3 linked regions of the Caenorhabditis elegans genome follow. The gene in region 3 interacts genetically with the main gene of each other region. Each region holds a gene or a part of one and is shown on either strand. Other genes may lie near its edges.

Region 1 (5,249 bases), on a different chromosome or scaffold from region 3:
TGGATAATTTTGAACTTTTAGATTGATTTTCCCGAAGAGACCGATTATGAAGAGATTCGGAAAACAATTTTAGAAGTAATAATTTACAGATTTCAAATTAAAAAATTGAATATTTCAGAATTACCCAGCTCTTCAAAAAATTGAAAAGGTTATGATGCTCGCAGTGGATCAGGAGTGAGTTTTCAGAAAATTGAGGTGCAACCGCGCTCTACGGCCAAATGGAAAAGCTCCGCCCCCAAAAGTTAGGTCTCGTTAGGTATTGGCAGCAAAACTGTTAATTGAAATGTTTTCAATAGCTTTTCATCATTTTTGTTATGTTTCGCGTTGTTTTTAAAGAAAGCTTTCGGAAGTGTCGTTGCCAATACCTAACGAGACCCAACTTTTGGCCGTCGCACATCTCTGCGTCTTTATAATATGTCGTTTACAGATATGCCAACCCCGGAGATCGTTTCGAATTGGTTCGCTTCACAGAAATCGCTGTAATTCCTCCATTGTCTGGTGGATAATCTTATTGTGATAATTCTTGTAGACTCTGTTTATTTCAATGAAAATTTGTGATATATTTGACAAAAAAAAACTAGAAAAGTGGGTTAGTGGGCGACAAAGGGTGCAAAATAGGGAAGAGAGGCGAAGTTTATACCCGAATTTCGAATGATTTTTTTTCTCTGTTTTGGGTTGAAAAGAGCTGGGCGATTGGGTGGGAGGTTATCACAGAAAAATGGGAAAAGGGGGAAATGCAATATTTTGTCTAAATCACAGAAAAATTACTGAAAAATTTTAAAAAAACTGAACAAAAATGAAATTTGAAAATTATGACCACACATCAGCTTGGTATCTTTTTGTCTTCTCCATATCTTTGAAGTAGGCGACAGCTTCCGTTTCAGATTTTCCTCCGATTTCTCTGAAAATCTTCTGAAGTGTTGCCTGAACGTCACGAGCCATGTTGCGGGCGTCTCCACAAATGTAGACGTGAGCTCCAACGTTAATAGCATCCCAGATACGATCACGAGTCTCCCACAAGCGATCTTGCACGTAGATCTAAAAATATCTTATTTAAAAGTCAATGAAACACGGTATCCTACCTTATGTTCCTGAGCTCTGGAGAAAGCGCAAACCAAGTGTGTGAGCACTTCGTCTTCTTGGAACTTTGCCAACTCATCTTTGTAGATGTAATCATGATCTGGATGACGGCATCCATAATACAAATGCATTGCTCCGATTTCCTTTCCGGCATTTTTGTGGAATTGACGATCTTGGAGGAATCCACGGAATGGAGCGAATCCTGTTCCGGGACCAATCATAATGACTTGAGTTGTGGTACGGTGGGGAAGACGCATTGTTGATTTACGAACGAAAACTGGAGATTTCGATCCGGCGTCCTGAAATTATTTGGATTTTTTTTTGGAAAAAGAAAGTGTGATAGTGAGAGTTTTTTGAGTGAGAGTACAGTGAGAGTTTTTTGAAATTTTGTTTTAAAAAATACAAAAATGAACCGTGATGGCCAAATATAACTGTTTAAAAATGTAATAAATTTTTCTAAATTTTTTTGAAATGGTTTTTCAATTTTGCAAATTGAAAAAAGAGATAATTATTTTTGAATTCCCGCGCAAATGCATCGTCCGGTTATGACATTTTTCTTAAAGTAAACTTGTATACATTTAAGATTTTTTTGCGAAAAAATGTCTGAAAATTTTACAAACTGTGCTTTAAATTGAAATTAGCCAGAAAATGCAAAAATGCCAAAACAGGGTGATTCATTTGCTAGGGAATTCGAAAATAGCTATTTTTCTTATTTGCAAAATTGATAAAATTATGAAAAAATTTGAAAAAGTTATATTCGATCATTACGGTTCATTTTCTATCATGTGCAAAAAAATTTACCTTGGTGGTCAAATATCTTGTACAAACTCCATTGATATCACGATCACCAATAGAATATTTAGTGACAACTGCACAAATTGCAATCTTTTCCTCATTTAATCTCGGAGATGAAGCAATACTGTAGTAACGGGCTTGAAGACGTGGAAGAAGTTCAAGAAGATACTCAATTGGTGGTTTACATGTCTTTTGATCAGTCAATACATCGACAATTGAACGACGCTCTTTGACAATGTATCTGGCGTACTCTTTCTGAAAAAAATTCAATTACTTCAAAATTAAAATTTAAAAAAACTCACCAAGCCCTCCTCATTGGCAGTTGATAACTTATTAAGGAATTCCTTTTCAGTATCATCCGTACAATATTCACTGATTGCTTTGAGCACATGAGATTTGACTGGAGCACAAATATCAACATAATGAGAAAGAGCAGTTCGGAATGTGGTTGGGCATGGGAATGGATGACGTTTTGATGCATCTTCATCAACGTTCACAAGACGGAATGCGTGATCAGGATCGAATTGAAGCATATTAATGAGACGATCAACAAGAACTGGATCATTTGTTGGGAAGACAGCCAGATGATCTCCTGCTTCATAACGAATACGGGATCCTTCAACAGAGAACTCAATATGTCTACAACTACGATCAGAATGTTCGGTATGAAGTTCATCATTGATCGCAACAGTAGCCAAATATGGATTTTTGACATCAAATGGTGGACGTGGACGTTCATAAGCTCCAAGTCGTCCAAATTCTCCCTTGAAAAGAGCTTTTCCTTCTTCAACTGGTTCCAATTGATATTGTCTCATTGTCTCGGCCTCTGTGTTCAACTCCCATCCAAATTCTTCAGCAACTTTTGGCAAGAAAGCTTCTCTCCAAATCATAAAATCTTCTTCAAGATTAGCATCATCATCTCCTAATCCCAAATGAAAGATTCTCTTGGCTCCAAGTTTTTCAAGTTGTTTGTCCATTTGAATTCCAATCTCATTAAAATGTTCATAAGTCTTATTTCCAAGTCCAAAAACTGCAAATCGAACACCCGACAGATCACAGTCTCCAGCATTCAAATATTCAACAAGTGTCACTGCATTATCAGTTGGATCTCCTTCTCCATATGTGGCAATGCATAGTACCAAAAGAGCATCCTCAACTTCACTCAAACGATTCAAATCTTCACATTCAATATCTTCTGGATCAACGACAACAGCCTTCTTGGTGTAACGAGTAAGATCTTTAGCAAGACGTCCAGACATTTCTTCAGCTGTTCCAGTTTGAGATCCGTACATGATAAGCACCTGAAATTAGAGAATTTTGATTCTATTTTCTTTAAAATTCCATATCAATTTACCTGTCGGTTCTCATTTTTCATTCGATCAATGAATGATTGATTCGATTTCGAAGCCGCAGCTGACGTGGTGACCGATGCTACGGTTGGCGAGTATCTGAAATTTTAATTTCAAATGTAAAAAAAATAATTTTCTGCATTTATTTTTAAAGTACCTGCTAGACGATGGTTGCTGATTGAAAACCTTCATGAAAAGGAATATAATTGCTCCACCAGCGAGCAGAGTGAGCACCACAAGGTCTGATGTGTCGAGACCCGACACAATCCACGCCAGCATGTTTAGAATGAGAGTTTCTGAAATTAAAGAATTATTTGAAAAGGAAGAGGGAGATATTGAAAAAGTAAATAAATAAGAAGTTATAGTTTAAACATGTTTTAAAATATTGCCGCTGAATTTTGCGATGTTTGCGCCGAGAAAATGACAAGTTTTTGTTAAATGCGCGTGCGCCTTTAAAAAGTACTGTAATTTCAAACTTTCGTTAATGTTGAATTTTAATTGATTTTCCATAGTTTTTTAAGTTTAATTTTATGTGATTTTTATTGTTTTCATGCATTTCTTTATTTTTTCAATAAATAAATAGTTTTTAAACAAAAATGTGTTTTTTTTCTGTTTTCAGGTGATTTCAGGTACTTAGAAAAATCCCGAATCAAACGAAAACAGAGGAAAACTCTGAAAAATTGATTGAAATGGCGCAGAAACGTTAGTTCGAAACTACAGTACACTTTGAAGGTGCACACCTTTTTGTATTTATCAAAAATTTGGCGTGTTGAGACTGGGTCCAGTGTTTTTGGCGCAAAAACCACAAGTTTGTCGCACTAAAATATATGTATTTTGAGAAATATCTGAATTTCTATCATATAACTGTAATAAATAATTTTTTACAAAAACAATTTCAACTAAAAACTTAATTTGAGATACGATTATCGTATAGCAAATTCAGTGAGTCTTTTTTCAAAAAAAAATGTACAGTCAATTTGTGTGAATGAATGGGAACATTAGACATATTGTTCTGTCTGTCCCCTTAATTTGGTCTTACAGTTAAAGAAAAAGAAGAAAAAACAAAAGCTACAGAAGAAAAATCGAATTAAGGGAGGGAGGTATATTGAAATAAACAAAGATACGCCGTGAGGAAAAGTTATTAGTGAAAAGAAAGTTGTATTTGCCAAGAAGGTGAGTATTTTATAGAAGCAGATAGTCAGAGAGTTTGCATCATTTTTTGAGGTTTGTGATCGACACACATAAAATATGATTTGGTGGTCGAAGAAAGATACTTCGAGAACACAAAATTTGTCAGACTTTGTATTGACACGTAGACTAGAGTACTGTTTAGCCAAAATTATCTTCTGAAAACAAAACTTCTAAAAACTATGTAATCTTAAAAAATTTCAGACATTTTGCAAGTACAGTAGGAAAATGCTTAAACAAAACTAAAACAAGGAGTCAGGAAAAATTGAAACAAAAAAAAACTGCGGCACAATATCTGATATAACCCAAGTAATTTTACGGCACAAATACAGTACCCAAGGTCTCGACACGACGAATGTTTGTTAAATATGAAAACACGTGCGCCGTTAAGGAGTACTGTAATTTCAAATTTTAGTTGTTGTTGAATTTTCATAATTTTCATCTCGCTATGTTGAAATTTGAGTTTTTAAAATAAATATATCTATTTTTTATCGAAAAACTTCGAAAAATTGTGGGAAATTCCGCAACAATGAAAATTTGAAGATACAGTACTCTTTCAAGGAGCACGACTTTCTACATTTTACAAAATTTGTTGTGTCGAGACCGGGAGCAATATTTCTGAAAATTAAATATTACTTGGTCACAAAAGAGAGTCAACTTTTGTAATAGAAATAAAATAAAATTGGTTATTTCCACTATTACAAGACTTTCAGAAATAATTAGTCGCCAAACGATTGTTTCAGTCAAAAATAATTTCCTAATTTGAATTAAACGTCAATTCAAGTCATGCGATGAAATAAATGACTGGTGAATAACTGTTGAAATTCAAAGATTGTC
Region 2 (4,263 bases), on a different chromosome or scaffold from region 3:
ATACCATCAGTTTCTTTAACTTTCAGACTGCTACAAATAGCACTTGTCAGCGATTTTTCAACGACATACTTCAACCAGTCGAGCATGGTGATCACATCTCGAAATGTGGTAGTATTTATATCTGTGCTCACTTTTGTCAAACATTTCGAGAAGCAAATTATCGACTTTGTTGGGCACTGTGTATCAAGAATCGGCTTGATTTGTGTAAGATACTACAATTAGAAATATAAAACATTACACAAATATTGAATTCAGGACAATACCTCGCTATCGGTCAAAAATTTGCCAAAATAGTCGATTGATTCACAGATCGCCTCAACTGCATTGTCGTACTTTTCCGGATCATTCTGCACATCTTTGAAAATTTGAAAAAGCACAGCACGTTCCGTGGCATTTACCAGGCGACTTCGTAAATTCATCTGAAAATTTGTTTTTAATGCGAAGCTCGCGTTCAGGAAAGGTAATTGAACGTGGAGTAGTAAATTAAACCAGGTTAGGGTTTAATAATGCACGAGAAAAAATAGAGGTAAATACGTTTATTGAGATTCTGAAAAAAAAATCAAAAAATATGTTTTAAAAAAAGTGAAATTACCGGTAAAATAATAGGAAACAAAAATAGGATCCGCGTTTTCTTAGGATCCACGTTTTCTACTTTTCTCCCGATGATGATGTCTCCGGAAATCATCTCCTTCACTTTGACGTTTTCTTTGTCGACGAGAGTGGGGAGAATCAGATGGAGAATCAGAATCTTCGGATGAAGAGGATGAAGCTGAAAAAAAAAGTTTAATTAAAAAATAGACAATAATTTTAAGGTAACTCACTGTCATGTCTATTAGTTCGTCTTCTTCTAGAAGTCTTATTTTTATCTCTCTTCTTATCCTTCTCTGCTCCTGAAGCTTTCATCTTCTCTTTCAAGCGTTCTCGCATTCGAATTTCCCTCTGCTGAAGTAGAGCTTGCCTCAATGCGTCTTCTTGTTCTACAGGTTGTTCTTCAAGTTCTTTGATTTTGCTCAGCTCATCTTTCAACTTTTCTTCTTCTTTTCTCTTTCGTCTCTCTTCTCGTGCTTCAATTTTTTCAAACAGAAACTTCAAAAGACGAACACCTTGCAAACGGCGAGTGGCTCGTGATCGTTGCTCTGCTTCAAGTCGTTCCTTTTCAAGGCGTTTTTTCTCTTCTTCAGCCATTCGTTCGAGTTCCCTCTGAAATTTCGTATGTTTTATTATGATTTTTTGAAACGTTTCAAGTGAACCTTTTCGCGGCGTTTCCGTTCTCTATCTTCTCGTCTTCTATCTTTATCATCGAGTTCTTGTTTAACTTTCAGTTCTTCTTGACGTCTGAAGAGGTGAGTTATTTTTAAAATTGTAGCATCAACAAACTTGATATTCAACTCCTCTTCTTCTTGCCGCAGTCGTTCCGTTTCAATTTGACGTCGTTCTTCCGCTCGCTTTGCAATTTGAACTTCGCTGAGATGACGTGATCGATCGAAATCCACCTATGAAATTTTAAGCTATTTCTCAACCTTAATTCTGGGAAATTAACTAACCTGTAGAGTGGCACGAGGTGATTCGTTTCAGCGAAGAATATGCAATTTTTAAAATTGATATTGAACGTTTAGAAATAATGTGATAGATTTTTCAAAATTGCAAACTAACTCTACTACCCTACTATACCTTGACATTAGCCTGAAAGAACCGTCCATCAATTCGTTTTGCCCATTTACGATTTCTCAGGGAATCCATGGCAGTGGCGAAACCTTTATACTCCATAAATTGCACATATGCTTCAAAAAATACATCCTAAAAATTCAATTCGTTTGATTTTACAAATAAAACACTGCGATACCTGCCCTAATCCGAAACCTTTTTGCTGAATACCAGAGATTTTTGAATTCATTCGAGATCGGAGTGGGTCACAAATTGGAATGTCGACAACTCTAACAGATCCGAACGCTTCCATTGCAACGCGAAGACGTCGTTCAGAAGGAAGATCATTGTAACCATCCTAAAAATGTGTTTGGTGAAATAAATTCGAATGCAATGTTATGGAGCAACGTACGCAGAACCATTTCACTGGAATTCTTGCCAAATAAACTGTATCAGGACGTTCTCCGGGTTTCATCTCGTCCATCTTATGTTTCATAAACCAATCATCCCAATCATGACGACTTGGAAAATCAAGCTTTGCCTCTTTTGTTTTAACTTTCAAGGGCTCAGCAAATCCAGACACTTTCATAGAGAATCCATCGAGAATCTTCATCGTTTTCTGCATGATTCCTAGCGAAAGAAGTTCCGCTTCAAAAATAACACTGTCGATATTGCTCTCACGAACTTTGCAAGAATCCATTTGAATTGGATCAATTGCACGTTTTAGTCTTTCCATGAGATCCCAATTAGATATTGATTGTCCCGGGATCGTCATCTACAATTAAATAATAAATCGATGTAATTATGATAGTTAAAAAAACGTACCCGAGGCAGCACTACGGTAATTTTTATAACAGCCATCGGTTTCAGATACAAGTGTTGCGCCTTGTTAAAATCTTCAGCTTCTGATCCCAGGTAATCGAGAGCAGTGGGAAAATTTCGCGCCATGTTGACAAAAGGTTTAATTTTTTTGATTAAAATTTGCACTAAAATAGAAGAAACATCGATATAAATTGAAGTTCGATCGAATATTCGATGAAAAATTGTTCTTCGAATAAGTTGTCCGAGAGGAGTTCACCACATGGGGACGAGGAATGAATTTGGATTCTAGGCCATGCAGTCTTTTGAAGTCCACTCGGACAAAATATTATGAAACATTTTTGTTGCTGTTTACTTGATTTCACGAGAATTTGTCAGGCTTATTTTTTGTTCCACTATTTTTCGTTCAATTAAAAAAAAATATTGTTAAATTACAGAACATGAGCCACACTCAACAACAAACTGCTTCAAGCACTGAAACCTCTACTGTCACCGTTCCTCCATCTCGAGAACAGAACTTGGTGCTTCATCTTAGTCCAAATCCAGCTCAGCCATCAACTTCAGAACGGCGACACGTAGTTTGGGCCACCGAAACAGTGGATAACGAAGGAATGGGCAAGAAGAAGAGCAAATGCTGTTGTATCTACAAGAAGCCCAAAAATTGGCAAGACTCAAGCTCGGATTCTGATTCGGATTGTGAAACCGGTCATTGTCGTGGCCACGTCGAGCACAAAAAGAACGAAGAGCCGAAGAGCTCTAATTGAGCATATTTCATAATCGATTTTTCCCATTTTACCCCTCATTGTCCGTCTCTTTCCCAAATTTGTGCATACTTTTGTTTATTTATTTTCGTTCGTTATTCCGAATAGATGTTCAATAAAATTATTTTTGAAGAATCTTCATGGCGTCAGATGTGATCTTCGACGAAGTAGTTGACGTCTTCAACAAGATTCGGCGGACTTCAAATGTGAAATCAAAGCAAGCAACCTTTCAGAAAAACTTTGAATCATGGAAAGAAAAGTGTAAGACAATTGGGCGAACTATTACAATGTGACGTTATTCTTTTAAATTCAGGTTCTGATCCATCTGATATGTTTGTCATAATACGGTTCTTCGTTTCGGATTACGAGAGGTTCAGAAAGTTCGACATGGGACCGACTAAGTTGGCAAGCTTTATGGCAAAAACTTTTCACGACGTCAGGGCTGATTACGTATCAACTATCTCGAAAGATGCATCAACAGCAGCTCGTCAGTTGGCTGAAAAGATTTCTGAAGAATATAGAACTGAAAATGATGAATCTACAGTAGTCACGGTTTCCGAGTTGAACGAAATTCTTGATTTCTTAGCGGCGGGACCAATGGATGATGGGAACAGTCAGTTATTGGCTTACACCTTTTCCTATTCAAAAAAAAGTTTTCAGAACGAGATAAGATGTCGAAACTCGTTAAGAGATGCTCTGAAGACGAGTTGGAATGGATTTTCAACGTAATTCTTAAGAACGTTGAATCAGCTCTTGGAGCCCCAAGTAACAGGATTCTCGACTGGATATCGCCTTCTGCTTGTGCTATTTGGGATCAGACACATGATTTGAAAGCAGTTCTAAAAGGAAAATTGGTAGAAAACAAAGGAACCAACGAATTAGGAGAAACAAATGATGATGACGATGAGCATCTTTTTAAAATATGGACACCCATGTTACTTCAGAAGCAGAAAAGAGGTGACTGGTATGCAAATGTGAGTTTTGGAATTCAGTTCATAATTCAAGTACAATTTATTGTTACAGATTGAAAAGTTTGGAG
Region 3 (8,013 bases):
AAGGTAAAATGAAGATATTGAATTTTAGACGTTGTATTATAATACTGGTGAGTTTGATCTGCAAATGAAACTTTAAAGGTTACATAGCACAACATTTATAAGTGTCATGTTAGTCTGGACACTTGACGGAGGCAAATCTGTAAGCTAACTTATGTGATTTGATGTTCTGCAACCCATTACACCAAACAAAAATGTTACAGGACAAAAACACACAACACGGAAACATGATTACCACAATGGACTTTTAAATGACATCTGATAACGGCGGAGAGACTACTATGAGTAATAGTAGTGATGCTTCTCATCATCTATAAATTCATTGAAATCGTTGCCCTGAACTTAAATGTCAGTAGCGAACTGAAAACGAACCTAAACAAGAAGCTTTGTTAGAGGGACGGTCGTACGAAGGCCAAGCTGGTGAACCGAGGGCAGAGTCGAGAGATTGGTTGGCAACACCGCTGACGGCACGAGCTAATTTATCTTGTCGAACATACCCGTTTCCGATTGGTTCGTTGAGCACTTTGTGGATGTACACTAAAAACGGTCAAAATTCGGGTTTGCTCATGCTATTGTTGTTTGATGGAATACGTTGAGAGGTTTCCGGTGTAATAATGTGATTTTTCAGCATATTGTCATTGCAGTAGAGATGATTCGGATCATTGGGTGGTTCTACAGAAAAATTGGACTCATAGTCGTCGCAAATTGTGTGTTGTGGCTGCAAAAACAGTGCTTTATGGATTCCGAATTCATAGGTTAAATTCTTTTAAAATTTAAATACGTTATGTACGAAATTACGTTTTGATCTACCTCTGATGGAAGATTCACTGGAGCTGAAAGAGGGCGATGTTTTCTCTTTTTCTGGAATGACTCCATAGGAGAAACTGGACCTGATGCCGTGGATCTTTCGGAGAAAAATTGATCCTGGAAAATATCCTCAAAAATGTTGTCACAGATGTATGACCTTACATTAAATTCTTGTGATCCCTCAATAGTCTCATTTGTCATTGTTAACATCCAATCCAAATAATCTACGATTGTTTTAAAAGATGGTCGTTCTTCCAATTTTTCTCTCCAGCAGCTGCACATCAAATGGTAGACTTCTTGGGGACATAAATGTGGTGGCTCCATTCTGCAAAAACATGTCAGACAGGTGAGATTTGCATGTTTTTCTCAATATTTTCACCTGTATCCTTCTTTGAGGTTAGCATAGAGTTCAGGCATGGCAATCGTTGGATAGGGAGTTCCACCAAGTGTCATGATTTCCCAAAGGAGAACTCCATATGACCATCTACAAAAGTATCAATGAGTCATTATAGTATTAATTTTGGTACACAACCACTGTCGTGCCCTAAAATTGCCCCAAAAAATGTAAATGGAAAACTGAAATAAAAGCGTGCCAAGAAAAATGGTGAATGCATTGTTCACAGAGTGATAGTTTTGGAAGCAATAGTATTTTTTTTTTTTGATATTCAAATTTGAATAATATATTTTTTGTTAAATTAAATTGTCGTTCAATAGTTTTTTATAACTATTTTTCCACAGGCGGGAAACAACTTCAATTCAGACATATCACAAATATATTTATGTTTAATGTTTTTCCCTAAATTAAAATCCTAAAACGTTGTATCCTAAAAACCCAAAATAAGTAAAATAAATATACAGCTATCCCGATTCAGATGCTCAGGTTGACTCAGGATGATTAACTTGTGTGAAAAGACAAATAAGACATATGTGATTATATTGAAAAATCAATTTTTTTCAAACGTGAACCTGGAAAGGACCTCCACGAAACTTTTCTACCACAGAAAACCATTACTCACACATCACTTTCCACGGTGTATACATTTGAGTCCAACGCTTCTAAAGCCATCCATTTAATGGGAAGTCTGCCGTTTCCACGTTTTCTGGAAGTAATATATCATCAGTAATATATCATTAGGAATAATGTTACAACCTATAATAATCGTTACAGTGCACATCTCTCGATAGTCCAAAATCCGATATTTTCAGAACGTGTCCATCACCGACGAGAACATTTCTTGCTGCCAAATCACGATGTATGATCTTCTTTGATGCCAAGAAGTTCATTCCTTGAGCCACTTGCCAAGCAAATTGTACAAGATGGCGTTGTGTCAAATTTGGTATGAGCTCCTAAAAATGAAAATTTCAGCAAAATTACTCTGGTAAATTTAAAACTGACTAAGACAGGTTTACTGATAATGAGCAATCAGGAAAACGCTTTTCTACAAGATTTTCAAAGTTTGATGAGTATTTCAAATTTTGTCAGTGGAAAAAATCATATTTTATTCAAAACATAAGCCACTCACAATGTCATCCTTATCAGATGCTTTTCGTGGTTCCAAATAATCCGTCAATTCTTGGCTGGACTTTTTTGCCTTCTCTTCCTTAGGTCTATGTGCTCTCAAGAAATCGCGCAAATTCCCATGCTTGCACAGCTCAACAACGACATAAAGCGGACCAGCGCCTGTACAGCATCCAATCAATCGCAACACGTTCTCATGTTCTCCTATAACTTTGAATGTTTCCATTTCACTGACCAAGTCAATGAGCTCTTTTTCGTGAGCTGACATTTTCAATTTTTTGACAGCAACTGCGATTTCCTGAAACGCAATTAAAATTTCAGATTTTCTTGTTTTTTTGTTTTCCCAAAATTACATTGTTTTCTGTTTCTTTGTATGTTGCTTTCCAAACTTCTCCAAATGCTCCCTCGCCAAGCATGTGAACCAAACTCAATCTAAACGTTGAAATTTAATGTTTAAATTGAATTCTTGTCTGGCTGAATGTATTAAAGATTTGACCCACTTTGATCTTTCAACTTCCCAAACTGGATCCGAATCAACCTCGTATTCCGAAAGAACAGTGTTTTCTGAATTCATACGTTTTCTTTGTTTTCTCGCTGCTTCTTTCTTTGTAATTGGAGTCTCTATTATTTGAATTTGATAAGGTGATGGCTCATCATCCGAATTCTCATTATCTTCATTCATTGGCCTTTTGCTAACTACGACTCTTTTTTTTCTTGCCACTAATCCAACAGTATCATCCATGAATCCTTTTTTGTGTAGTGTTTGTTTGCACACCATAAACAAAATTCCAAATAATGTTGCAGCAAGCAGTAAGAAAAGCAGAATTGTTGTAAATATATAATCGGATGTTGTCCATCTATCTATCTTCGGTTCGTCACCAGTGAGCAAATGTATGGCCATAAACTCATTCACCGTTAAAGTGGCATTCGCCATCGACTGTAAAACTCTTAATTTGTTCAACTAGAAGGTTCAATCAATTTCTTACCATCCCCAGTGAGTTTCCACTGAGACAAGCATATATTCCCTGATCATCCAGCGACACATTGAAAATAGTAAGCGTCGATTCATCACCAACGTGATGGACGTGCGCTTTCTGAAACGACACTTTTTGATAGATGAGAACATGTTTCATAACATACATCAAAAGTGTCCATCTCTGTGTAATTGAACATATACTCTTCAGCTGAATTGTTGTAGTAGCTATACGACCCATTGATTTTGTTGATGCGTACCCAAATAATATGAGGCAATAAGTCAGAGACAACTTTGCAGTGGAATGTGGCAGTGTCATTAATATTTACCTAAATATAAAACATTGAAACTATAGATGCCGTGAGGCAAAATCTTACTGATTGATTAGCCAAAATATTCGGAACGATAATGGGCGGTCTTCTCATTCTGTTGACTATGATCACATGGAAATACTTTTTTGCACTTCCAACTTTGTTCAATGCTTCACAATGAAACTCCCCAGAATCTGCTACGACAGCATCTTCCACTTCTAAAGACCATCTATTGAACTTGAATTCGTATCCGCCGGACCGAGCACTACTTTTCTTCAACATTTTGCCGTTTTTGTACCAGATAATCTGTGATCAAATGCATTGATTGAAAATCCAATGTTTCTTTACGTGAAAAATTTCAAGTTTTTCATGAATCGTACCTGTGGCTCAGGGTATCCTTTTGCGCGACAATTAAGTTTCAATGTTCGTCCTGCTGGTAGAGCATGCGTTTCATTAAACAATACAATGTTGTCGTTTGACTTGAAATATGGTGGCTCTTCCGCAGTAATATTCAGCTCAGTGAGCCCCGCATCTGGAGCAACCGGTTGTGAAACACTATAGTCTTCTTCTTCGTCTTCTTTGTTTTCTTTTTCATCAGCATTGATAAATTCGGTTCCTAAAAACAAGTTTACTGAGATATATAAGAAGAAAATGAAGCATTTAAAATAATTCAACCACTGATGTAGCCTACCCAAAGCATGATTGATCTGTCTTAATCTCAGAATGTGCCTGGCTCGAACAATTTTCTGTTCATTATTCATCTTCTCCCATCCGCCCAATTGGCTTTTCACTCTCCTCATTTCCGCAGGAGGTAGCAATTTTGGCAATAAATGACTAATATCGAATACTCGATGCTCAGTGAGCCAATCGAACAGTTTAAGTGGATCTGAAATAACTTACTGGATTCGGATGGACTTTCTTCAGAGTCATGCACGGGCACAATCACATCATCTTTTTTCAAAACAACACGCTTTACTAAAGGATCGTCCTCGGGTTTCCCAGGTAAACCAAAATCCGAAACAGGAGTAGTGTCAAATTCTTTGCAGTGATCACCAAAGCAAGGAATCATTGGCAACGGTTTTCGTGCTCTATTTATCATGCGAGATGCGTACTTTGAGCAGACTTCTCCTGTTACCGCTGCATAGTTCACATCAGATCGTTTTGCTTCTTTGTTGTATTTCCATAAACAAACACATTCCATCGGAATGTTCAAATGATGAATATCGGGAAACAGGAAGTAATCACAAAAGTCTGAAAACAAAGCACACCATGCATGGAAGAAATTATGCTTGCACTGCAAAGAATCGAGCAATAGAGATACTTACCAATAACTTCAACTGTAAAATTTCGTGATATTTGTCCATATGCGTTGTGTACGCGGCAAGACCAAAGACCCTGCAAAAATATTAGTTTTTAAACGTTTTTAAACGTTTTTAAATAAACGTTTTTTTTTAAGTTGACAGAGTCAAAAACTGCTGAAAAAAGTTCTCAGTTTGTTGGTATTTTTGAATTAATATATATTTTTGATGATGCTTAAAACTCATGGTAGTCGGTTATAGTTTTTTTTCCTATTTTCTTTCATATTATTCTTGCAGAACTAAACACGCGCAAGAGATATCACACAAACTTTAGCATCTACAAGATATTTTTTATTGGTTAAATGTTTTTTTTTAATAATTCCAAACATTTTTCAAACATTAAATCATTTTAATTATCATGTTGTATTGTTTCTTTACGGTATTTTAGGTAACTCCAGTATTTTAGGTTAAAAACAAGAAAAACCAAATTTGAAACGAGACATCGAAATACAGTTTCATAGTGTATGTTAGTCTTGAATTCCTATCAGTCTTTGCACTCTAAATTGTCAATTAAAAAAATAGAAATGCATGCAATTCTAATAGGAGAAATGCGATACTTGGTGTTCTAACCACATTGTTCAACAAAAAAAAAACCACAAAAATAATAAAAAATCATATACCTGATCTGAAACATCAATATTCTTCAAGTGAAGCATCATCCTGTTATTATCTTTCCGAATTTTGTCTTTATCTATTTGATCATTTTTGAGTAACTTGTCATTACGATACCATTCGACAAAGGCAGAAATCTTTGACGCCGCGGTTTGACAGTCAAATTTTATCTAAAACTGTGTACATCTATTGCTGTTAAATATTTGTTCCACCAAACCTCATCTCCAAGAAATACTTCGTATCTTTCGTTTGCTACATGCTTGAAACGGGGAATATTTTCTGTAAAATCGAATAATATGAAAATAAATTAGATTTTGTGACAACTCTCTTACCTCTGTAATGACTGGTCAATCCTTGAAGAGAACAAGAAACTGTAGAAAGTAAGCCCACACCGAGGCAGGATGCAAGGAAATAACTCATGATGATATGTATCAGGCAAACATTCGAATTTCTGCAATCTTTTGTATCTACTATTTATCTACTAATAATCAAAATATTAAAACACTCAGAAGGAGAAGCTGTGAAACTTTTGAAATTGAATACATGTGAGAGAGGTGAATCAGACCGGTACAAAGATTTATTTGTTGGGTTCTTACTGGTACCTCTGCGCGAGCCATGGGTTATATATTACTGGCTCCATACCCCACCACCATATGTAACAAATTGGCGACACCCGCGCAACGTTTTCAAAAGTTCCGACCCTCTGGGTCATAAGGTCTAATGATCTCTGGGAACAATCAAGAAACTAAAGCAAATCATAATTAGAACCGTCTAAATTTACGCATATGTTGCTCATAGAAAAAAAAAACGAGCAGCGAGCGGAGGGCGATAATAAAAAGAGTAAAAAGTGAACGAGCGTCAAATTGAGACGACGAAAGACGTCCAGATGTTAAGATGTTGTGGATTCGTTGTCTTCGCCGACAAGGTGGAATGACACAATGCCGTTTCGATTGATATCGAAGCAAAACCTTGAATAAGAAGTCACATCTGGAGGTGTTTCTTCCGGATGCAGTGCATATGTTACGGAAACAAAAACCTTTCAACATTTCCGGACACAATGTAACTTTTTATTGCTAGTCTTGCAGTATGATATAGCGAATAAAGTGGGTCTATCTTTTCAATGATCACGGCTATGTTATAGAGTTATGTAATTTTTTTAGAGCAATTTGAGGTTTTATAAAAACTCGTTATGTATAATAAAAACAAATTTTAGCAGCTGATGTAAGCGTAATAACGCTATGGTAACTTTTCAAAACCAACGTCATACATTGCATATAAAATAGTTTAAATTAGATCAAATTTGAGATTATAAGGCTAGTTTTCAAAATAATGAGATACTTCTTTAGTGAAACATTCTATCTAAATATTCCTAAAAAAATAAAAAGAAAATGTTCATAAAAAACTTAGGTTGTGATTAATGATTAGAACATTTAGTTATAAACCAGCTTTTTGATTATTGAAGTGTAATTTAATCTGTGCGATTTCTAGGCACTTTTTTGTAGAAGTTATGTATTATAAAATTGTAATTTCAAAACTTAATAGTTGCACAACAGGGTGTGACCAACATTCCAAGAGATGCTTATCGCGGATACGAGATGGTTAGTTGCGAGTCTAATTAATTCAAATGTCACATCATTTACTCAATTTTAACAGGTAGGTGAATGGATTTCTTGTTTCAATTTTGTCATTAAACCAGTTTGTTGCCCCCAAGAATTCCATTAGAAAAGAGTGATAAGAAAAAGAGAAGGGGGCATTACAATCATGAGACGGTAACCGACAACATAGGCGTCGGTTTTTTGTTGCTGTGGGTCTTATTTTTTGGAGTATTTGGTATGTGTCTACAGGCTAATCAATATAGAAAAATGCAATCAGAAAGTGAGAGAAAATCAAGGGAATTAGAAAAAGAAGGAGAGATAAACGAGAATGGACAATGATGAGAAAAGAGATGCGTTAAAAAGAAAAGGGGTTAGTGATTGGGCATTGCGCATAAGGCAGTCAGTCGCCAAAAATGATAGAACACGGGATAATTGTAGGCGACATATTTAGATGCAAAAGCTAATTCAATTTCGGTTTTTCTTTATTTACGCGCACCTGTTTGTGTTGCATTCCTTTATAAATCTCGAACGCGAAAAGTTATTGTAAATGAGTCATTTTGACAGTGTGCAGGTGAACAACATGTGGTCAATATGAAAATAGATATCAGAATGCAATTAAATGCGAAAGGTCGAAGAAGTAAGCGGGTCTACCGAGAATTGGCTGCGTATCATATATCACGCGCAGTGGAACGGCACCACCTCATTCAATGTCACGAGGAGGACAAAACAAGTAACAAATGATTTAACGCCGTAAATCTCTTCTATTTATTAAAGCAATCTAAAATTGAATGAAAACAATGAAATGGATACAATAAAGCTTACAATTATCATTAAACGATAT

Evidence for each region. Genes that interact genetically often act in the same process or in processes that back each other up.
Region 1: changes in egl-15 (region 3) and emb-8 together harm fitness more than expected from each alone (negative genetic interaction), as found in Caenorhabditis elegans (one large-scale study listed by BioGRID).
Region 2: changes in egl-15 (region 3) and akap-17A together harm fitness more than expected from each alone (negative genetic interaction), as found in Caenorhabditis elegans (one large-scale study listed by BioGRID).

What each region holds. Positions count from the first base shown.
Region 1 is NC_003281.10:5,196,158-5,201,406, forward strand, and holds emb-8 (NADPH--cytochrome P450 reductase), read right to left. Parts: upstream 3,521-5,249; 5' UTR 3,504-3,520; coding exon 3,382-3,503; intron 3,324-3,381; coding exon 3,230-3,323; intron 3,177-3,229; coding exon 2,178-3,176; intron 2,131-2,177; coding exon 1,882-2,130; intron 1,380-1,881; coding exon 1,083-1,379; intron 1,039-1,082; coding exon 811-1,038; 3' UTR 523-810; downstream 1-522. Other genes in the region: moc-6 (Molybdopterin synthase sulfur carrier subunit), read left to right, coding at 22-75, 119-174, 428-506.
Region 2 is NC_003281.10:7,518,106-7,522,368, forward strand, and holds akap-17A (RRM domain-containing protein), read right to left. Parts: upstream 2,682-4,263; 5' UTR 2,593-2,681; coding exon 2,470-2,592; intron 2,420-2,469; coding exon 2,057-2,419; intron 2,003-2,056; coding exon 1,844-2,002; intron 1,798-1,843; coding exon 1,672-1,797; intron 1,494-1,671; coding exon 1,378-1,493; intron 1,336-1,377; coding exon 1,251-1,335; intron 1,201-1,250; coding exon 822-1,200; intron 770-821; coding exon 633-769; 3' UTR 523-632; downstream 1-522. Other genes in the region: Telomere length regulation protein clk-2, read right to left, coding at 5-212, 264-419; C07H6.2 (E3 ubiquitin-protein ligase PPP1R11), read left to right, coding at 2,904-3,227; lig-4 (DNA ligase IV), read left to right, coding at 3,365-3,485, 3,538-3,837, 3,885-4,198, 4,248-4,263.
Region 3 is NC_003284.9:11,014,425-11,022,437, reverse strand, and holds the start of egl-15 (receptor protein-tyrosine kinase), read right to left. Parts: upstream 6,039-8,013; 5' UTR 5,998-6,038; coding exon 5,910-5,997; intron 5,857-5,909; coding exon 5,795-5,856; intron 5,748-5,794; coding exon 5,586-5,747; intron 5,003-5,585; coding exon 4,933-5,002; intron 4,859-4,932; coding exon 4,508-4,858; intron 4,494-4,507; coding exon of another isoform or gene 4,299-4,493; intron 4,224-4,298; coding exon 3,988-4,223; intron 3,914-3,987; coding exon 3,674-3,913; intron 3,626-3,673; coding exon 3,464-3,625; intron 3,418-3,463; coding exon 3,310-3,417; intron 3,261-3,309; coding exon 2,824-3,260; intron 2,756-2,823; coding exon 2,677-2,755; intron 2,622-2,676; coding exon 2,328-2,621; intron 2,152-2,327; coding exon 1,955-2,151; intron 1,905-1,954; coding exon 1,821-1,904; intron 1,289-1,820; coding exon 1,184-1,288; intron 1,130-1,183; coding exon 967-1,129; intron 922-966; coding exon 808-921; intron 716-807; coding exon 589-715; coding exon of another isoform or gene 545-588; and 7 more. UniProt on the Caenorhabditis elegans protein: Receptor tyrosine kinase required for larval development. May phosphorylate adapter protein soc-1 which in turn may result in the recruitment and/or activation of phosphatase ptp-2.